Schizosaccharomyces pombe: one gene and its partners. The gene in region 3 interacts genetically with the main gene of each other region. Each region holds a gene or a part of one and is shown on either strand. Other genes may lie near its edges. The genes, in order: nup120, mex67, red5 and mlo3.

Region 1 (7,267 bases), 3.0 Mb from region 3:
AAGGAAGGATATTGCGATTGTATTGATTAACCAGTTTGCCGCTGAAAGAATACGTGATCGTATTGAAAACCATGTGCAGGCATTCCCTGCTGTATTGGAAATTCCTAGCAAAGACGATCCTTATGATCCTGAAAAGGACAGTATCCTCCGTCGTGTTAGAAAGATCATTGGAGAATAGACTATTAATATTTAATTATATTTTTTGAGCAATAATTTCAATTAGTCAACAACTCGATCGATTTGACTGATGACACTTTTATATTTGTATCTTTTGGTTTACTTACTGGCATACTAGCAAAAAATTGTAAGCAGAGTTTTTGTTAAACTATATTTGATAAATAGAAAAGTGATTATAAGAGAAATGTATTATTTTAAGTATAAATCTCATTCAACATCAAAACTGACATTACAACCACAAGAAGTCTTGGCACGTGGATTGTTTAAAAGTTGAAAAGAGGAACCAATAAGTTCATTTGTATACTCAATTTCAGAGCCACTTATCAAAGGTAATGAAATGTTGTCAGCAACAACCCTGGCTTTTCCACGCACAAATACCCTAGATATTTAGTCAATAACCAGGAAATACTTAATTAAAACTTATAGTCTTCTTAACCACATCACTTACGTGTCAGCATTTCCAATTTTGTTGTCCATGCGAAAAGATACTTGATATCCATGGCATCCACCACCATCGACAGTGACGCGCAAAACAGAGTTTTCTTCTGGTTTCCTTTCTGCAATTTTTTCTAACTGTTTTTTCGCTGAATCTTTCACGTATAAAATAAAAGGGATTCCCTTCTCGTCACATTGCTCTTGAAGCGTGAATTGGTCGTTCGCAAGCTTTGAGCTATAAAATCGATTTTTGATTTTGAATTCATTATTTATTTTGGGAAATATTTCTTTCGTTAATGTATTCGATTTCGCATCAATTCTACATGATCGAGAATTTCTAAGCGATCCATGCGATAGCTGTCGAATTGCGATCACAGGATTTAAGAGTGTTTGAAAACAACGTTCTCGAAAGAAAAATGGTCCTTTAAACAATAAGTTTACTCGCGATTTCATAAGCATCACTGCAAAGTATTATAGCCACAAGTTAGGACTTTCTAACTTGTAAACATACAGTAACGTAATAGAAGTCAAATTGCCTACGCTCTGTTTCGTTAATTCAGTATATTCCAAATTGGTGCTTATGTTTATGAGATAGAGAAGTTAAGTACATAAATGAAATAGTCATAACTTGACGAGTGTGTCATAGACTAAAGTCAAATTCAGGGATTTACCTATTAGTTAACACCCAATCTCTAAGAGATTTATATCGGATAGATTGAATTCGAACTTACAAAACTCTCACACCCATAGCTAGTAGAGAATAAGGGGAATTTATCAAATATATCTAGAATTATTTAATGTTCTTTTTTACTTATGTTGTATGCTACTAAATTTTGTGATGATTTATAGTCAAAATTAATATCTTTGGATTATTTTTACCTTTTGGTACTCCTACTCCTTTAATTCTCTTTCAGTTTTAAATGAATAGATTTTTAGCTATTAGAGATAATTTCAACCCATTTGGTTAATTCTTCTTCTGGATATTTATTGTCGATCCTTTAATTCTAGCATAGACCGGTGGATCACATCCAGAAAATGTCTTTATCACAATTGATGCCATTGCTACAATCTTCTACTTTAGCTAATTCTTTATCGTGATACCAGTGTATGTACTACCGCTTAATTACTATAAAGTTGCGGGTGTTCGTACAAGCACATATCACCGCAATTGTAATATTGAATCAGGTATAAGAGATCTTGGCTATTAGACTTAGAATTGGTTGTATCTGCAATAAAAAAAATAAATTATAAATTGCATGCCAATGAACAATAATTCACCCTTGCACGTAATTAATATTTATTAAAATGTAATTTACAATTTAACGTATGGTTGAAAATATTACATGTTTTATTTACTAAGAATTTGCAAAATTTAAAAATAAACAAAACTAGAAAATTAGAAAACTATTTTATTAAAAAAGATTGAAAGGCTGTAAATTAAGACCCTAAAGATGAGTACTGTTAATTTAAATAGATTTAATCTCTTAAAACAACAGCTAAAAAGTTACAGGTATACAAAAAATAATAAAAAAAACTAACAATAATCTAAGAAAGGCTTCTGATATCTTGAAGATCTTTTACTGTTGTATGTAATTTCACAAATAAAATAGAGAATCCATTTAAGCTCTTGAGTTTTAAATGAATATTTGATTCCTTTTTTATTATTATGAATACAAAGGAATTGCTCGATTAATAAAAACTATCAAATTGTTTAGCTTTCTTCATCCACAATCAAATGATTCTATTTTATTAAGGAACTTAATCTTCAAGAAGAAAATTCAGTTTTACATTCCATCTCCCTCTACCCTAAAAAGCTAAAGAATTACAAATATACTCGTATTTACGCGTTTCTCATAAATTCGTTGTAGGACTGGCCTGTCTTACGCTAACTCGTGTAGGTCGTTGTCTACGATACTCAACCAGAACTGCCCCCTATTGTTAGCTATTTGTTTGGTATTTCTACTGGTATTACCGCTACCAGTAAAAAATAAAATCAAAATATGAATGAATTAAAGCATGCGGTAGTTCCGATAGACTTACAATCTTTTTGTCTGGAAGGAACTTTGGCGTTGTGGGTTCCAGCTCTCGAAAACGACTCGGAAGACGATTCTGAAGCTATAGAAACAGCTGATGATAATGAAAAACTTTTTAAAAAGGAATGTGTAGCATATGATGCAGGTGTTTATACCTCAAATAAAAGCAAAGGTTCACAAACTTTACGATGGAGTATATTCCAAAACAGAACACTCACTATCTTTGATGTTTCATTAAATTCTAAGAAGGAGCCTTTATCAAAATTTAATGTGAAAATTCATTTTCCATCCAACGTAATGAAGGACGGTGTAGCTTTCTCGTTCAGTGAGCATTCCGACACGACCATTATATATGCTATTACTCACGCTCGCGTTTTGTATTATATTAGATTATCTAAAACTTGGTTCCAATTACCGGACGCTCGCTTAGACGACGATTGGTGTCTTTGTTACCGACCAATATCCTTTCTGAATCAAAAACCCGATTTAATGGCCGCAATTAGCACGTCTGAAATTTGTGTAAGCTTTTTCAATGGAGGTTTAACAAAGATTATATTAAATCCAAAAGACGCTAGTCACTACGAACAGCATATTGATGATTCTAGTTATTTGTTTTCCCTAAAAAAATATCTATCACTTCAGGCATTTAAGGCAGATTACCGCTCTCCTAATACTATTATTTCAATGATTTTTTTGTCTACCTATAATGTTCTTGTGATGCTATCGCTTGACTATAAGTTAAAAGTTTTGGATTTGTCTACTAATCAATGCGTCGAAACCATTGAACTGTCACAGACTATACTTCCTCTACAATCCTTTCCTTATTTAACTTCAGATCACACCACTAATTCTTTCATCGCTCTGTATTACCCAGATAATTCTCATGGCTCTTTTTCAATTTACAAACTTAACGCAAACGCCCACTCTTTTAAATTAAATGTTGTCATCGAGAAGGGCATAATTCCTCCTTCTTTACCAGACGATGAGTTCATACCATGGATGCTTTCTGATTTTCAACTGATATCGTCAGAGGGCTCTCAATCTAAATTTTTGCTCATTATTGCTTGGAAAAGCAACTTAAATACCGTTATCCAAAAATGCAACCTTAGTCTAGATCAGGACGAGAGTTTTTCATGCGTTTGGAGTCACTCTTTGGATAGCTTTTCCCTCATAGAAAAAACCTTTTTTGACGTTCCAACAAACATGTCGTCTGGGGATATCTCAGAGATTTGGCTACAACACATTTTTGCACATAATACATCTATTGAGTCTATACAAGTTGCTCTTTTAAGCTTTCAAAACAGCTCCTCGCAAGTTTCAAAAAATAAACTGGATAAATTTGGCGCACTTACTATAAGTGAACTTAAAAATGCCGTTTTGTCGTCTATAGTTTCAACGATCCAAATAGAGCCAAATTCAGATTTAACTGGATACGATTATTATGAATATAAGCGGCTATTATATAATGAATGGGAAAGGTTTGCGAAACTTGTTGCATATCTGGATCATTTTGGAGATGAAATATTAAGTATTAACTTCGATCCTTCGAACGCTGTTACATATATCAATTATGCAAATAAAGTGGCTTTTATTAGGGATCCTTATCTCATTGAATCCTTTGACGAAGAGCCGTTGACCAAATTAATTAGTTCCCTTGAAACAGATGATCCTTCTCTAATTGAAGGTTATCAAATTCTGGATCTTGGTAGGAGTTTACATTCCTGTATGTCATTTTCTACTTTATCTGAAATTAGATACTCATTACGAGAACTAGTCCAGGATTTGCCATCTTATTCTTTATTTGATACATTGTGGGTATTTTATGACAAGCACATATATCCCAACGTCGATCCAGATTATATCAGTACTTTAATTGATACTCTAGTTTCTCTTGAAAACCCGATGCGCGACATTGATTCTCTTATCCAACGCTTAAGAAGTTTCGATATTTACAACCATTCCGCTCAATCCCCTTCCTTATTTTTGTGTGCATCGGTAGCACGGGTTTTGGACAGTATTTTGAAAAAGTTTCAAGTCTCTATTGAAGGATTTATTTTTCTACTTTCTTTGATAACTAGCCAGCAGGATTATGAGTTACAATCCAAATTTGCAGGATGTGATAAATTATTTCTTTCTTTACTAGAAGATTGGCGTCTTGTGAGTTTTCTTTTAGAGAATTCTGCACTTTTGCTAGAAAAATTTGAGGAGGAGGATGTTGATTCAACAAACTGTAATTTAAATACTATGGAAGCTTTAGCAAGTGTTAACACAGCCCTTCAGTTTTTTTCCGCTTTGAATTATTCCGAATGTTTCTCAGAAAGCCAAATTTCACCTTTACATGCTACCGTGATATCGTCTTTGTCGGCAATCTTTATAAGGGACGATACGGAAAATGATCTGGTCACTGAACTTGTAGAAAAGTTGTTTCTATTCAAACAATATAATGCATGTATGCAATTAATAGGGTGGCTTAACTCTGACCCAATTGCAGTCTACTTGAAAGCACTTATTTATCTCAAATCGAAAGAAGCTGTTAAGGCTGTCCGATGTTTCAAGACTACTTCTCTAGTCCTTTACTCACATACTTCTCAATTCGCAGTTTTACGGGAGTTTCAAGAAATTGCTGAAAAATACCACCATCAGAACCTATTATCGTGTTATTACCTTCATCTATCAAAAAAGCTGTTCGAGGAGAGTGCATATATAGATGCATTAGAATTTTCTTTATTAGCAGATGCCTCGAAAGAGACTGACGACGAAGATTTGTCTATTGCAATTACCCATGAGACTTTAAAAACCGCTTGTGCAGCAGGAAAGTTTGACGCTGCTCACGTTGCATTGATGGTTTTATCCACTACGCCTTTGAAAAAGTCATGTTTACTAGACTTTGTAAATCAATTAACGAAACAAGGTAAAATAAATCAGCTTCTAAATTATTCAATGCCAACGTTAAGACAGGACGTCGACAATTTGCTTGAGCGAAAGGCCTTTCAAATGATTAACGTTGAATCACAACCATGCTGGTATAATATTTTGTTTAGTTGGCGGTATAAACATCAAAACTATCGAGACGCAGCAGCAATTATTTATGAAAAACTGAGCCGGTATATCTCTACTACAGAATTAATTGGAAAAAAGGAGAGAACTTTTATAATAGAACATTATTTGATTGTTTTGAACACTCTGGAGTTGCTTCCGAAAGAAGATACATGGATTCTTGTGACAGACATGTCCGTGGACAAGGAACCTGACCCTAACTTTCTTCCACAAAAATTACTTACTCTAGATGCAATTGTAGCAGAATATCACTTACAGTTGAAGGATGTCGCTGTTCAAGTTACAGCTGAAATGTCATCGGCCATGAATATCGATTTATAAAGGCAACAAAGAATTATTTACGCAGCTTAACCTTCTCATTTAGAAAAATCCAGAAAAAAAGCAATATGCTTGGCAGAGTTTTAGTAATTAAATCATCTTTAGTTTCATTGAGGCGATGGGTAGCCATAAATAACTAACTTCTTTCTATAAAATTAAATTCTGAATATAAATATACTTTCGATAGCATTGGTATTTACATATCTTTAACGAATTATAATTCCGACCTTTTTGCTGCAGCTTGCCGCAGTTTGCTAATTAGTGTTGTCCGTTGGGAAATATTGTTGAGATACGGCTAGTATCGGCAGAATGTTGGAACCAACAATAATTATATATTTGAATTTTTATTTCCTTATTTTATAACATTTTTTTGAAACTTTTGGTTTCAGATTAAATAATTCTCTATTAATAATAGTGTACGGAAATTGCACGCCGTGTGCCCGAATTTAAATTTGTCGGGTCCCGAAGGAATGTACAAAACACCAAGACCTGCGAAAACTGATTCTCAGTGAATTGGGTATATCGGTCTTGTAAAGATCTAATTAATGAACGTTTACCAATGTTATTGAACTGAAAATATCGTTATGAGGATTTTTACTCTTGGAAAAGGCCGAATTTCACGAGGGTATGCTCGGCAAGTTAACCCTTCATTATTTGCCAAGTACAGCTACTGTATTGCCAATAATCCTTGGTATTTCATTCTTGTGTTTACTCTTTTATCAATCACAGGTATATATTCGTCGTTGGTAGCGTATCAGCAATCCCTTTACGATCAATCATTAGCTAGATGGTCGGCTTGGTATGCCGAGAGCATCAATGCTGAAGCAAATGTTATTACGAAACAACTCTATCTTTTAGGAACGAACACATCAGTGTTTTCCGAAGACTATCTTTCAAACGCGTATCGTTGGGAAACAAGCTTCCATCAATATTTGGCGGAATACGGGTATCCTTGCATAAGAGATGAAAAATCCTGTGTAACTATTTCTCCAATACCAAAATATTATGGTAAGGTTGATCCTGTAGCTCAATATTCATATACTAAAGGGCTTCCTGAAAATGAGCGTGAAGTGAACAAGCTTAGGAATGATACAATAGCCGAAGGTTTTGACTCGCTTAGTGCTTTTGTGATTACTTACTTTTTAAAGCCTGAACAAGTCGATACTTTTCATGTTGTTTTAAAGAAATTTATTTCCGAAACTCCTAATCTATATGCAAGTTTACTTGATACATCCCCTACCACTGTC
Region 2 (5,492 bases), 1.4 Mb from region 3:
GGTTTTATCTGAACTAAATAAAATTTATTTAGCGAATGAAGAACAAATTATGAATGGCAGTAATGGACGGACGCAATGTAGCCGTCGTAAGGTGAGCCAATGTCATTGAAATTCATCAAACCTAATGTCTCAGTACAAGAAGCAAAGAGTTTTCAAATTACTTAACCTAAAAAATGAAATTCTATAGACTTAAATCTGTTTGCTAAGTGGACAAGATCGGGTTTTGCGTAAGTAAACAAACTTCATTTCGAAGATGAGTTGGAGGAATGTTCATTGAACTTTTTCAATTGAATTATAAAATTATTATATAACTTTCAAAATCGATTTGTAATAAACTTGAGTGAAAACAAAACTAAGCTAAAAATTACCTAGTTTAAGGTGTGTCGCTACAAATTCTCGTTAAATCCATAAGAAGCTTTGTGGAACCACCGTAATTGCTAAAACTCGCCAAATGGACAACCTAGATGAAGATGACTTAGCATTCTTCTCAAAGCCTATTAAAAAGCCTCCATTAAACTATGCCAAGCAATTAATAGCCTCTTCCTCAGATTCTGGTAAGTTTTAATTCCGATTGCAAAGTGTCAGCTTGCTTACAACATTCTAGAAGAGGAAAGTGAACTTGATACCAATAAACAAGCATTAGAACACATAAATGCACAGAAAAATATAACTCATAATGAAAACAAAAGTGCCGAACCTTTATCTCGTCAATCCACTATTTTAGATGCTGATGAAGGCAACCAAGACGTTTCAGACACTACTCCTAATGCGTGTTTGAATGAAGGTAGGCACTCACCCAAAAGTGCTATCTCCTGTGTAACACAACCGGTTTCACCAGTTTATAATACTAGGGCGGCCGCTAACTTGCGAAACAACAGCATTAATAGTGAGGCTGCGCTTTCTACGACTTCATCACTGCTGGACGATGACTTTGCTCGTAGGTTAGAGGAAATTGATCGGCAAGTTCAGGAGTTTGAAAAATCATCAAGTGATATGGATGTACAAATTCACACGCATAAGAGAGAAATTGAAGAAGACGATGACAATACTTCGGCTGATGTGCCCCTTTTAAAGCATTCAAAAAGTGACCACTCAACGCTGTATCACTCCAAATCGGAATTCTCAACAAATGAACCAGTTATTTCCGTCGTTCTCCAGTTAGCCGTAATTGGACAGAGAATTCCAAACAGCAATATCTCTCTTCCCCGGGACTGGGAGGCACCGTTATTTTTCAAAGTTAAGTCGAACCAACAGTTTCGTCGTGTCAGAATAGCGTACTCTGAAAGAAAAAAAGTAGATAACGTTGTTCTTGTATTTCAAAATCAAAGATTATGGGATTATGGAACCCCAAAGGGCGCTGGTATGCTTAAAGTCGATACCCGTTTGGTTGTGCATGCCTACTGTCACTCGGATTTTATATCACTCAAAAGAATAAAAGAATTGGAAGTGGAAAAGTTATCCTCGGTAACTGAAGATTCAACTGCTCAAACGTGTAAACTTATAACGTTGCTTTTGCGTTCGAGTAAGAGTGAGGATCTTCGTCTCTCAATACCCGTCGATTTCACTGTTAAAGATTTGATTAAGAGATATTGTACTGAAGTAAAGATTAGTTTTCATGAACGCATTAGATTAGAATTTGAAGGTGAATGGTTAGATCCCAACGATCAAGTGCAAAGCACGGAACTTGAAGATGAAGATCAAGTTAGTGTTGTTTTGGATTAAAAGGATATTTGGCTCTTACTTTTACCATTGTTCTTTCTTATATTTAATTACCGCCATAATACTTTTATAGAATGATCACGAACGACTATGTATAAATCTAACTTATTCATTTCATCAATATGTACCATTATTAAATAAAAGTTTCCATTTCCCCAGTTTGTAATTTTTTAACCATATCTATCTATACACGTCACTAGAAGTTCATGAAAATGCTTCGGCTGGTATAACATTTCGCGACTTTAATTCCAAAAAAGATGCTAGAGCGCTGTTGTAATCCCAATTATTTTGCTCACAACACATGTGAGCATAGTAATCATTTAAACCTGTCTCCGCCTTAATTTTTAATACAATTTGTTGTCTAGTGTCTAACATTGCTTGTTCCGGTCTTGGCTGTACAATATCACTAGGCTTTGAAGCAGACGCAGACATGGCATTATTGCTTGTTCGTACACTGCTTTGACCAGGTAGCCACCCGAGCGATCCAGCAAATGAACGAATGACTAATAAATCATTTATAATCAATATGCCTGTGGAACCTCCCGGCAAAATCAGCAAAGTTCGATCAAAACTTCGTAGAAGTCGTTTGTTTTGTGGTTCCTCAAATTGCCCATGGACAACAATTTTGATGGCTGCACCAACCGAAGGCAGAACCAGGTTCCAACCATCAAAAACCCATTGCGAACGGTCTGATAAATCGTGAGCCGTAGCAGGTAAGGATTTTACAGCGTTGCTTATTTCTTCGTGCCCGTTAAATAAACGAGATTTCGACTCCTTCTGTGATTGTGAGTAAAGTAGATTTCTGCTTTTCATTTTGTAAGCTCCCCATTTTTTAGTGTCTGTTTTCTGAGAAAAGTTCGTTCTAACGTTTGAAGCGTTCAGAGAGATTGAGAAGGTAGCATTTGGACTGTATAATTGATTGACAAGTGCACTTCTATTCTCATCCCAACCTTTAAAGAACGCAGCCAAAAAAGAATTGACTATTTGTTCGGTTTCAACCTTATCAAAGAAAGATTGATAAACCGGAAAAGGGACGGTAGATTGAGAGGCGATAATCTCTGAATTTATGCTGTTACCATCTAAAAGACGAAGCTTCGGAAAACGCGAAACCATTTCCCGTTGATAATCCATAGCACGATTAGCAAAGGTTGTGACAATCGGGTTTCCGACAAGAACAAGCTCTTGGAGTTCGGGAAGCTTTGTTTTGGGGGACCATGGATCCAAGTCAGATAAAGAAGTAATCCGGTTATTAGCAAGACTAAGGTTTAAAAGTTTAGGCCATGTTTGTGCTAAAGTGGTTACGGCAGTCACCGATTGTAAGTTGTTATCCGACAAACTAACTGATATAACGTCTGGAAAGTTTAAAGAAGCAACCTTCATTAACGCTGGAAACATCTTACTCTTAGTAGAAGCCTCTGCTAAAATCCCCATTTGCTTTAAAAGAGGATCTTGTTGCAAATTTCCGAGGTCCAAGAATTTAGTAGCAGGTTGATAACGGGTTTGCAAAAACTGGCGTAACTTTTCAATGGTCTCATTTGTGGATTGTGGTAACGTTTTTGAAACATTTCTCTGGGCTTGTGTTGCTAATGCAGATAATGAAGGAGCTGAAACAGAACGAAATGATCGTTTTGTCTTTGCTTTTCTATAATCTTGAGTAACGTTAGAAGCTCCATCGACCCTTCGTATAGCCAAATGATCACCAGCAAAAGCCGCACCATTTAACCCGTTCAAACGACTAAAGTCTTGGCTTTTAACTACGGCAGTGACCGAAGCCGGAGAATATGAAATGTTCATTAGACGAACCTTGACTTTTCTCCAAACAAAGCTTATTAAGTCGTCCTCAGAACCCTTGGAATGACCAGTAATAACTACGGATATCGGGGGTTCACGCGTGGCACGAGGTTTGCCTGGTGTACGGCGTTTCTCCAATGGTGTATCAATTACCATTTCATTCTCTTTAACAGCATTACGACGCTCCCGCTTTCTACGCAACATTTTGCAATTATGTTGAGTAGTAAGTGTGAAGAGAAAGAGAGTAAGTGGAATTTAATTCAACATTTTTAACTTCAATAGTAATAGGACAAGTATAAGGAGTAGAGATGTGTACGCGCAAAACTGCGTTAAACAGTTAGACTATTTGTGATATAACGAGAAACTGTTAAATGCGTTATTCGTCTTTTGCTATGCTTGTATCGATGGAATTTGTGGAAATACATTTTTTGTTTTAGTTTATTTTATTGAAATTCAAAAAAATTTATATGAGGCTAATATAAAATCGTTTACTGTTTTTTTGTAAAATCACTATTGATATAACTCAATCGACCACCTAAAATTCGACCTCCATTAACATGAAAATTCAGGAGTAAATTTTGAAGTAAAGAACAGTTTAGTCAGTAAGACTTCCGAACACTAATTCCTTAAGCAATATATCAATATATGTGTCCCGCTAATTCTTGTTTTATTGCATGTTTAAAGAGATTGAGCACTAAGCAACGTAAGTTTTTGATAAATCTGGGTTTCATGAGCCAAAAAAAATAAACATTTTTTGGTTTTTTTTATTTTTTTTTTGGCTTGGATATCTATTTTTTGTTTAAATCGATTATCTACTAAATTTATGTATTCATTTTAATGGAGAAGCAAAATTACTATTTACAATTTTTTATTATTAACTAACAATATGATCGCCTGCACCTTTATCAATTCATATCATAAAAATATGTACTTACTTGTGAAAAAATGCCTGCTTATTTTTTTTATTTTCTATCCAGTATAATGCTCAATTCTGCTCAGTTATTGATGTAGACAATATATATAATATATACGTATAGAATAATTAATTGTTGTATAACAATGAAGGGTCAACTTAAAAAATGAAAGGACTAAATTTCTACAGAAATCGATTAAAAAAGTGTTATTTTATTTTCATTTATTTATTTTGAACAGCACTTGTTTTATACTTTCCTTGACATTATCGTAACCTCAATAGGATAATAACCTGAAAATGCAGCAAACAAATTACTTAAAAGGGTAGGGTTTAAAAAACAGTCACAAAGGTCTATAAACGTGAGTTTGTTAAGTTGAAGTTTCCCTATCGTGCGGTTATATACCGACGCCCACAATTCGTGTTGCTCACTTTTCTTTTTCTTTTTCCATGGAATGGTTTGAGCGTCATACGTGGGCCAGAGCCATATTGGACATCTTAGTGCCCTTACAGGAATAGTCATATTGATACTTTTTCTGTGGGTCGGTAGTTCAGATAGCTTTTTGCTTTGTAGTATAAGTTTTAAATTTTTTGTATGACTCATTAATGTTTTTTAATTCATTTTAATATTATTCATGTTATGTGTTGGTTGTATTTGTCTGTCTTGTGTAAATTTTGGTTGTATTCGTGGGTTTTAAAAACCTGCTGTTTACTTAATTTTGAATTATCGAAATTTCTTCCATTTTTTAGTGTTATAGGGACAGCTTGTTTGTCGGACAGGATACTCAATGGGTTTAACAAGCTACGTTCATTTCTATTTTGTCACTATTATGGCTGTAATGTGAAATATCATAGTTGATTGTGCCGTGGATAAAAGAAAAAATCCTAGTGTTCTTTGCTCTGTCTTCTCCACGGGTATTAACAATGCACATGCTGTATGTCGTTTAACGTTTAGATGCATTTCATATTTGTTCACCTTATCGTTATCTCTGTTGTATCTATTAAGTTCCCACACTGGGGCACTAAAATGGTGCGGAAGGATCCTATAATCGTAGGAGTCGTTGGTGTTTCT
Region 3 (5,752 bases):
AGGTAATATTATTTGAAAGAACAACATTTTTGGTTATTTCTTCTTATTCTTCTGAGTCCAATCCTGCCACTGATGCTCACAGGTTCGAAAAAATTAGCAATATTGTTAAGCAATTTAAACTCAGTTGTAGCAAAATGCAAGCTCAATTTACTACTTTTGAGCTTCGTGGTGGTAATTTCTCTGCATTCATTGTTCCATATACTGAGGACACATACATATTGGTGGTCATTGCTGATCCAGAAATCGAATCAGCAGTAACCCTTATGAACATTCAAAGTGCTCGACGATTTATAGAAGCTTCAAAGAGCGCTTCGGACGGTATTCAACTGCAACCTTAATTTTCCGTTTGATAGATCCATCAATCTTGTTCTTTTTTCTTTGATAATCGTAAAAAATGTGGATCTAATGTATTTTACTCTTGTTGCTGTAATTACCTAGCCTCTTAGTTTTAGTCTTTAAAAAATAATATTCTTTATCAACTAGTTGAAATCTTTTTCTATTTTCTTTCTAAATCTTATGATATTTTTTAAAAATTTATTGTATTCAATTAATAGAAAATTATAACTCATTATCATCAAAAGTTTAGACATTGCGTAACTACACGATAATTTAATTCTACAAGATCAAACTGCTAAACGAATTATCTAAACGGATATAAAATCCAAGTTGCTTTCTAAGGAATTACTTCCAATTTCCGATCCAGAGTCTTCTGGATTTATAGAACCAGCAGTCTTCGATATTGGAGCTTCTGTTTGTTCTGGTACATCAGCGGAAACAGCACCATGATAGAGAGAGCATTGTGGATTATTACACGAACCAAACATAGCATAATCGGTACACTGAAGAATATGTTGATTTTTGCAAGACGTCCCTAACTCACAGAAACCGTACTTGGCAAATTCAAAACATATAGGGGCATTTTCAGAGTAATGAATGTGCACATATCGACAATTTGGGTTATTGCATTTTCCTAATAGAAAATACCGGCATGCAGGAATTCGTCTGGGATCTAATTCATGTGACAAATTACAATCTTCTGCTTTATTACATCGACCATTCAAAAATTTCGGACATATCGTTTTGCGGGTGGGCTCATGCACGAATCTGCATGCTGCTCCCTTCCCACAAATTCCATTAGCATTATAATAACGGCAATAAACAGCTGAAGGTGAATTTCCAACCTCCTTGAGAAACCTCTTCTTTTTAAGAAGATAAGACTTATTATTCCAATATAAATATTTTGGACATTGTCCCTTAGCACTAACAAATTCCAACCACTTGGTATCAGATACACCGGTAATATACTGCAGTCCGTCAATAGTTACTAATTGTTTAGTACCATCGGATAATCTTTGCTGGATTTTATTTTCGGCTAAAGTTTTGTATTCTTTCTCAAGCTTGGCTCTGTAGCTCTCCAAATTAGCTTTTCTCGCTTGCAAATCATGTTCAAGAATATTTTTTTTAATCAGTTGCATATGTCTGTTTTTCCGTGATACATAGTCAGATGTGGATTGTTTTTCAGGTTCCTTATTGGCATCGTCTGCATTCGATGATGTTGACGGTATCACATATGGAGGGCTAGCAGCTGTCGATTTCGAGCGATTGGATTTATTGAGGATAAAAGAATAGTTCCTAGAAACAGAATAGGGATACGAACGAGTATTCTTATTTGCTTTAGCGGCATCTAAAACCTGGGTAGGTTCTGCTAAAATCATGAGTCAAAGTTCCTCATAAATGGGCATCTTACCTTTTTCATTTTTATATTGATTGATAGCACCTAAAGGTTAGTTATATTATTACTGAGCGTTTCATAAATAAAGAAACATAAAGATATTTTTTTGCATAAAATCTGTCTCCTTGAAAATCCTAATTATTCATTGGTTTCAAAAACCAAAAAGCTCATTAGTTAAACCAATCCAACTTCAAAGTCGACCAAATTTATTCTGTATAACAGACAATCAAAAGACGTTAATACAATTTAATCAAAACGTACCAGCTAATGAAGCAATATTTTCCAGCAATTGTTGCTCGTTCATTGTGAATGCCGCCTAGAACTAATAAATAAATATAACGAACGGATGTTTTTTTTTGTAAAATAAACCAACAGCTTTAATGTCTTTTATTGAACTTGAATCGTCCAAGTATTTCCTGTTTTAAACCACCACTTGATATATTATGCAAAAGCTCTTGTTTGCTCAATGTTTTAAAATGAGTGGTTTTCCACTTTAATGGTCTTTCGTTCTATAAGTGAATCTTTTAAAAAAAAGTCTTTGAGAACCTTTCCTTAAACAAAACTGTTTAAGTTAAATGCCCAAATAATTGAACGACAACGATTAACCAAGGTCTTTACTTTTTTTAACGACAGGCAAGAGCTTATATGTTTGACAATGACCTTTTTGAAAACGTCGTTACAAAAACAAAAAAACTATGAAAAAGTCCTTGAAATAAATTCTTACAGTAATTAGATGTGGTAAGGTATTTCTAAGTCGACAGATTAGAGTAGCGTAGTCGGTGGCACCAACAATGTCGGAGTAGCATCAATGTAATTACCGACGCTTTATAACGATATTTTAAAAAAAACTATCTTAAATTATCAGTATTAAAACAATATTGCTTTAATTATAATGAAATCCTTTTTACTTAATTTAAATAATCCTTCTTTAAAGCGTAGCTCAAAATTGTTTTTTTCATTAACGAATAGATACCTCTTTATAATAATAATAATAATAAACGATATGAAAGATCAAAGCAAATATTTATAGTTCTTTTAAAATTTACTGATTATACAGAAAAAACAATTTGGTAAGTCTGTATTTCGGACGCTTAATTTGTGCTCATAGTAATCACAAACTTTGTAGAACATTCATTCATAAGTTTTCTATATGAATTTATACATTCATCAGTAAGAGATGTTTCAGCAATTTTCTTGTTTAATACCTTATATTTCCCTGCTTCAAACTTGGCGACCATATTCTTTAATAGTGAGTTTGATTCCACTAACGAAAGTAAGAGAGAATTGCACCCAATAATCTTCAGATTTTTGCGATATATTTGTTTCATGTCATACGAAAATTCTATACTCCCTTGCTTAGGTGCGGAAATATAAGACAACCTTCCCCCTATTCCCAATTGATTGAGAGCCGATTTCATCAACAAAGGATCGCCCACCGTATCGATTACCACATCAACTTTCTCAACCAATTCGTGGACCCTTTTTAATTCCGGATCCACCACTGTATTGATATCGGTTGAGCCGCTCCTAGACACTGTGATTACCTTACATCCCCAATCCTCTGCTATTTGACAAACAGCCGACCCGACAGCACCTAAGGCTCCAACCACTAGTACTATATCGCTGCCTTTGGTTTCTCCTCTGCTTAAAGCCAAATAAGCGGTTGTAAAAGGGACACCGACTGATGCTGCCTCAGTAAACGACAAATTGCTTGGCATACGAACAGCTGCTTTTTCCGGTATTATGCAGTATTCAGCATGAGTACCGTCTTTAGTGAATGATAGTTCGCTACCGCTCGTTCCAAACACTCGAGTTCCTACTAAATGAGATGCGCCACTAATTACAGTACCAGCATAATCTCGCCCAACGATTCGAGGATAAACAGTATACGGGAAACCCCCTGTTGCGTTCATTAGATCACTGGGGTTGATGGCAGCAGCTTCAATTTTTACAAGCAACTCTCCATTCTTTGGTTGGGGAATAGGAACACTCTGAATTTCAATACCCAAACAACCTGGCTTCGGTTTTTTTAACATTCGTAACGCCTTCATCATTTGATAGTATTGCATTTAATAAATCCTTCTTTTTGAAGTAAAAAACCCTCTAGTCTTACATAAAGTTATCATTATTATCTTATACAGTCGATATGTAATTTGTATATGACACCCACGGCAAAATACGAATATCAAATTTCTCGAAAAAACACAGGGCTAAAAATATTTGACTATTAAATGTAAATTACCAAAAAAATGGTTCTCAAAGCTGGAAATAGTTGCGTGCAGCCAAAAGTACAACACAAGTTTTCACTTGACCCGACATTTCAGTCGATTAGCCGGTGATTCCGTTGACTTGTTCGATCAGTATGAACAAAGTAGAAATCAATGACTTACCGAAATGCGCAGTACTTCATAAGCATAAATAACGATATATAAGAAAACCACAATATTGTTTTAGCTATATGCCTTACAGTGCCACATGATTGGATTCTATTCATTTTAAGACATGCTGACGGATTACCAATCAACAGGTTAAATTTACAGCGTCGCCACTTGTGGTAAATAGAATTTAACAAGAACAAAATACTAATCATTCCTTTTTTTTATTGTTTGAGTATTATTTCTCTATAATTGATCATTTCATAACGTTAAGGCGTGGAAATTTTCATATTATATCTACAGATAACTTTTTTGTTTATCCGTTGATTAAAAGAAAAATTTTACCACTTTCAGACCGGTAAAAGGAAGACAGTTTTTGACTTTTTTCTAATTGTCTGTACATACGTTACAACGATCTAGATTTCGTTTTTATTTTTATTATTGATAGTGTTTTTTGTATTCGTTGGTGGGTTTACTTACCAATTGCTAAGGGTTTCATTTCGCTGAAACGTGTAATAATATAATAATTTTAATTACTTTTTTTGCTTTTGTTTAAGCTGTTAATATCTTCTCTCAATATGTCATCTTCTGTCCTTGTTTTGACGTCTCCCGGCTTTGCTTCAAAAGAGGAGTCTTTGAAAAAAGTTTTTGACCTTATCGATAATGGTGCTTCTAGAGAGTTGCAAATGATAGATCGCGTCCAATCTCAACTTGTTAATTTACCCATCAATCGATATGATTCAGTTATTGCTGCCATTGATGATGGTGCATGGTCTTCAACTCTAGGACCTATACTTTCACAAGCCTTTGCATCAGTACATCCTGGAGGAACACTTCGTGTTTATTCTACTGCCGATGAAGCAGACGAGTCATTTGAAATGACAGCTTTGCTATCTGGATGGCTTATTGAATCAAAGAGTCCTTGGATTTTATCTCGTCCCAATCAGGTGGAAGCAGTTCCCATTAAATTATCAAACAAAAATGGTCAATCAGCGAGCAAAAACAAAATTCTTGATTTCTTAAAATCTGACAAGGAAAACCTTATTAGTGGTGATGATGATCAAGAACTCATCGATGAAGATGAGTTGTTAGACGAAAGTGCCCACGATAATGTTTTAAAAGTGCCCGAGTGCAAACCTGAACCTGGAAAGAAAAAGCGTGCTTGCAAGAACTGTACCTGTGGATTACGTGAAATGGAAGAACACGAGTCTTCCAAGACATCCGCACAGTTAGAAGCTGTAAAACTTACAGACACCACCGAAGTTGATTTCACCGAGAAGCTCAAGAGTAAAAATGCCGTCTCAAGTTGCGGAAATTGCTATCTTGGCGACGCTTTTCGTTGTAGTGGATGCCCGTATATAGGAATGCCTGCCTTCAATCCCGGTGACACAGTTATATTGGCTGAAAATCGTGACAAGATGTCCTGGATGGCTGATGACATTTAATTTATGGTTATCTTGTAATTGAGATGTTCCGGTTTATGAATGACCGTACTGCAGTTCTATTGCCTAATTGAAACTAAAGTTAAATACTTTTTTTTGTTAACATTTGTTTTTAATTCCGATATTTGCTATGATTTTGTAAGTTCTGGTTAAGTTTGAACTAACAATGTTGCAAATTGAAGTTGAAGTGGTTATATTACTAT
Region 4 (4,474 bases), 690 kb from region 3:
AGCGATTTTTGGTTTGTAACACAATCACGACGGATCGTACAGATCTTTCAAAAAAATCAAAATTATAAGTGCCAAAAATATATGTGTGGGACTTCAATTTAAATTGTTTGATGTGACAATGGTTCGAACATAAAACCAAGCAATGTTTACCAAAACAAATTTCGAGATACGGTCGGCAATTCAACCATAACAATAATTTACAAATAATAATAAACGTCGGAAGCAAAAAAAACGGGAATGGAAGTGACTAGGGTTTAAAAGTTTCAAAAGAATGCATTGCGCGTAATTCATCAATCAGCGAGTTTAAAATGCAATCGTGGAAAAGTTCTATAAATGTGGTTTACATACAAAGGAAGGAATGAAGCCAGTTCTGTCATGTACAATTTGACAAAGATGAAATAGAGCCATCGAACGCGATGATTTTACGAATAGAAATTCCTCATCCAAACAAGCCGTGCCACATATAGTAAAACAAGACTTGGAATAAGTGTGACGTGAACCAAAAACCATCATGAACATAATAAACACAGTCAAGTTGGGGTATGGAAGCTTTGACTTTCAGCAAACATGCAATAATAAACCCTGTCGGTAAGCTCAACCCAGTATAGTTTAGCAACATGATGATCAAAACAGCTGCCTTGTACAGTAACTTAGATTAAATAAAGTAACAGTAGCCGAAGCTACCATTATCCACCTCTTTTAACCACTGTCTACATAGGTTTTGCTTTTGTATTAAACAAGAAGGGAGCGCTTATCAACCATAAAGGATTTCTGCACAAGAGCTGATAAAGTTGCAAACATAACAGGTGAACAGATATGCTAATAATGAACTCGACTCAAAGCTTAGCTTCTTGGTAGCGTTTAAGCTTGCATACTACAAATCAACAGATATGTCAAAAGTTAGCAAAAGTCAAAACCTCCAACCCAACGTTAACCACCGAAAAAGAAATAAGTAACCAAATTCGTTCGATGTCAATGAAACATATATGTCTATCAAAAAAGAGATATAAATAAAAAATTTAATGAAATTCTTTGAAATAATGGCATAATGGCAATATGACCCAATACACACCATATATACTAACAAGAACTGGTTCAGCTCACTTCTCCAAATCCATTACGAAAGACCCAAAACACAAAAACAACTTCAAGAACTGCCATTCGAAACAGCATTATATTGCCAATATTATTTAACTGAGGGAGTATGTTGTATAGGTCGTTATTAATACCAAGAAGCATTTGACATCTTCAAAATATATGTATATATAGTAGAATCTTCAAATTATTAAAGTTACTCCTTCTCATTTGATCCAAAATAATCATCCATCTCCTTGTCGAGCTCTTCGGCGGATTTTTTAGGACGATTAGGAGTTCTACGGCGGCGTGTAGTCTTCCGCTTGGAAGATTTGGCGCCATTCTTGCTAGCAGTGGCGCTAGCGTTGCTGGCAGGACTTACACGTGCAGCCAAAGAATTCAATTGACGACTAGGATCAAGGATTATCTCAACCTTCATTTTTCTAGTGCCATCAACCAAACGACCCTCATACTGTTCATAAGCTCGAGTGGCATCACCAGGACGAGAAAAAATGATAGTTGCAATACCTTTCGAACGACCGTTGGGACCGTAAGCCAAGGAAACGCGTTTGCAAGGTCCTATGGATTTCACAAAAAGCTCCTTAACTTGAGCCTCGGTAACGTCAGTAGGTAAGTTAGAAACAATAATTTTAGATTCCTCAGAAATGACGGATTTAAGGGCAGAGGCAGTGTTCACTGCGGGTTTCGCGTTCTTTGTTGGCTTTGGCTTGTTAGAGCGCGCACGACGCTTTCTAATACCTCCTTTAGGCTTTGAAGCAATTATGGCGTCCAAGGACTGATCTAATTCCATAGACATTTTTATCGAGTTACTGTTGGGTAGTTAGTTGTTGTTAGGTGGTAAAGTGGCGGGTGGGGTTTACAACTGATCAGGATCTAGGTAAGGGTAGTACACAAGGTGTCGATATTTAAAATTATTATTTTGTAGATTCCTAAATATATTTAGCGATGTTGAACGCTTACTTTAAAGTCTTCAGAAATTTGACAAAAAAATAATATTACAAATTAAACTTACTTTACACTTTATTGGCATCAGAACTAGGATGGACGCGTTCACTTATAAAAGTTGAGAGATTATTGATAAAACAGAATTTATTGTTTTTTTGGAAAGCAATTTTTGTAACCATAATACCAAACGTTTGATATGATGCCTACACGATTAGATAGATGCAAACGCTTCGCCGCTTCTTGGTAGCTTAACAATGCAGAATCTAGACAGAAGAATAACGATTATGCAATTTTTAGAAACACGGAAAACATTCAAAGACAACATAATTCAGAATTAAAAAGCACGATTCAGTGCAACAGAATCAAGTATAAGAGATTATATAAATCCGTTATCTCACTAGTAGACATACGACGAATGCGCAATAAAACTAGGTAATCATAACAAACAGTTTGGGAGTTGGAAAATCGCAATAAAAAATTTTATGCTTAATCCTTAGAAAACAGCAAGCAAAGGTTTCTCATTTAAGTATCAAAAGGAGAAAAAATAAACAAAATAAGGACAAAAACGATGCCCGAAGTAAAATCTTTGCTAATGAAACAGAAAAATAAACTCAAAGCATCCATGGGCCTTTTCATCTATTCACAATGTATTTCTTGATGAAGCTAGTTGTATAAGTAGACTACTAATTTTTGAAGGCGAACTTTAAAAAGGAAATCCGCGATCCCTATAGTAGTAGCGGATGTATATACATCAAGCAGTATTAACAAATCAGAATTGCATCAAAAGATATTCCAATAGATAACAAAGCCACACGAGAAAGCAAAATAAAAGTCCAACGACAAAAATAAAACAGATACTGATAAGAAGTTGGTTCCTTTTTTTCGGTATACTACTTTTCAATTTTTTTTGGGAAATTTTTTTTTTCTCTGTTAAAATTTGAAAAAATAAGAAAGTAGAAAAGCAAGATCAAACGGCAAATTAATTTCAAGAGAGCCGAATTCATCACGGAGATGATTAGAGAATACAATATGACGGGTTAAACAAAAGTTCCCGTCATACAATATGAAAAGAGAAAAAAGTTACAAGAATAACAAAAACACGTAAAGTGTTTATAAGCGCAAGGAAACGAAAAACAAACCCCGTCAAGCAACAACACCCGCAGAAAGTAAGCACGATCACTAAGTCATTGCATAGCGATTGTACACTGGATAATATCCCACGGGTGTATAGGGATAATAGTAGTTGCAATTAGAGCAAGAACGTCCAGAAGAGGGCGATGGTGGTGCGTTGGTGCTCAACGTAGTAGGGCTATAAGTTTTTTGTTCACCAGAGTATGTAGCGTTTGAGGAAGTAAACAAAGAATAAGAAGCACTCCACCACTCCCATGCCTTTTGACCACGAGGACCGGGACTAAGATTCCAGGACATGCTAGCTAGCCAGTCTTGTTCAAAGCTGTTCAACAAGGCAGTACGGAAACCAGTAACTTGCGACCAGGATTGATTGGTAAACGTATTGTCATCCAAAAACTTATTAGCCAAAATCAAGGCGGTCGTTAAAAGAGCACATATTTGGAAGAATAACGACTCCTTAGTCCACTGGTTTACAAAATCAGTCGTTTGAGATGCGGCGTCAAGACGATCGGAAAGGTATGACAAGGCAAGCAAGCAAGAGGCACGAGGTAAACGCGTAGACGTCAAAATTTGTGTAACGACCTTACGGAAAGAAAACACAAGACCAGGTAAAGAGTTAGCAAGAGAATGCATTTGAGCATTATTCAGGAAACGAGCATACAACTTACAAGTCATGATAGACAAGTATTCCACCATTTGATCCATCTTGTAATCCAGTTTAGCAGCAACACCTCCGGTATAAACGGTTTCTTCCTGATCCTCCATGTTAGTTTTGCAGACAGGAGAAATACGTTGTTGAACGTTAGCAACCGAAGGCATGTTAAGATTACCTGGGATTGTATTATCAGTCTCGGAGGTAGTAGTGGCGGTATTGTTGGTTACAGGCACATCTGCTACGGGATGTCGAGACTGATAAAAGGAAGGAGCACAATTGTTAGCAATCAAAGGGGCGGAAACGTTGTTACATGCAGCTGATACATTCACCGAATTGCCAAATTGATCTTGGTTAGGATTATAGGCAACGGCAGAGTCAGGCATATAGCGTTGCTGGGAGGGTGGTGGAGGTGCGGCAGATGGAACCGACTGATAAGATGGCCAGTAATAGTTTAGAGGCGCAGAAGGGTAGAGACGTGGTTGAGGTTGCTGTAAACGGTGCTGCGACAGAAGGGAAGGAACAGCGGAAGGATGATGAGAGGAGGAAGGGATGGAGAAGCCCGACCTTACCGAAAGCGTATCGGGCACAGAAACGCCAGGTAAGAAGGACGGACGACGCTGGCCAAGACCATACATAGGAGCATGACTC

The links.
Region 1: mutations in red5 (region 3) and nup120 impair growth when combined (synthetic growth defect), as found in Schizosaccharomyces pombe (one study listed by BioGRID).
Region 2: mutations in red5 (region 3) and mex67 impair growth when combined (synthetic growth defect), as found in Schizosaccharomyces pombe (one study listed by BioGRID).
Region 4: mutations in red5 (region 3) and mlo3 impair growth when combined (synthetic growth defect), as found in Schizosaccharomyces pombe (one study listed by BioGRID).

Annotation. Positions count from the first base shown.
Region 1 is NC_003423.3:4,014,113-4,021,379, reverse strand, and holds nup120 (nucleoporin, WD repeat Nup120), read left to right. Parts: upstream 1-2,529; 5' UTR 2,530-2,612; coding exon 2,613-6,023; 3' UTR 6,024-6,154; downstream 6,155-7,267. Other genes in the region: vma7 (V-type ATPase V1 subunit F), read left to right, coding at 1-178; Fe-sulfur protein Isa2, read right to left, coding at 385-556, 626-1,071; Sre1 cleavage-activating protein Scap Scp1, read left to right, coding at 6,605-7,267. UniProt on the Schizosaccharomyces pombe protein: Functions as a component of the nuclear pore complex (NPC).
Region 2 is NC_003423.3:2,406,381-2,411,872, forward strand, and holds mex67 (nucleoporin Mex67), read right to left. Parts: upstream 3,742-5,492; 5' UTR 3,715-3,741; coding exon 1,924-3,714; 3' UTR 1,772-1,923; downstream 1-1,771. Other genes in the region: DNA repair protein, SUMO-related Rad60, read left to right, coding at 452-554, 605-1,722; SPOM_SPBC1921.04C (uncharacterized protein), read right to left, coding at 4,671-5,024. UniProt on the Schizosaccharomyces pombe protein: Involved in the export of mRNA from the nucleus to the cytoplasm.
Region 3 is NC_003423.3:1,048,364-1,054,115, reverse strand, and holds red5 (zinc finger CCCH domain-containing protein), read right to left. Parts: upstream 2,514-5,752; 5' UTR 2,037-2,513; coding exon 1,994-2,036; exon of another isoform or gene 1,920-1,993; intron 1,784-1,919; exon of another isoform or gene 1,778-1,783; coding exon 1,748-1,777; exon of another isoform or gene 1,703-1,747; coding exon 645-1,702; 3' UTR 501-644; downstream 1-500. Other genes in the region: Gtr1/RagA G protein Gtr1, read left to right, coding at 1-338; SPOM_SPBC337.11 (peptidase), read right to left, coding at 2,824-3,801; dre2 (anamorsin family protein), read left to right, coding at 4,686-5,552.
Region 4 is NC_003423.3:1,742,822-1,747,295, forward strand, and holds mlo3 (RNA-binding protein Mlo3), read right to left. Parts: upstream 1,928-4,474; 5' UTR 1,892-1,927; coding exon 1,292-1,891; 3' UTR 1,147-1,291; downstream 1-1,146. Other genes in the region: cyclin Clg1, read right to left, coding at 3,220-4,474. UniProt on the Schizosaccharomyces pombe protein: Has a role in the mRNA export process. Interferes with mitotic chromosome segregation when overexpressed.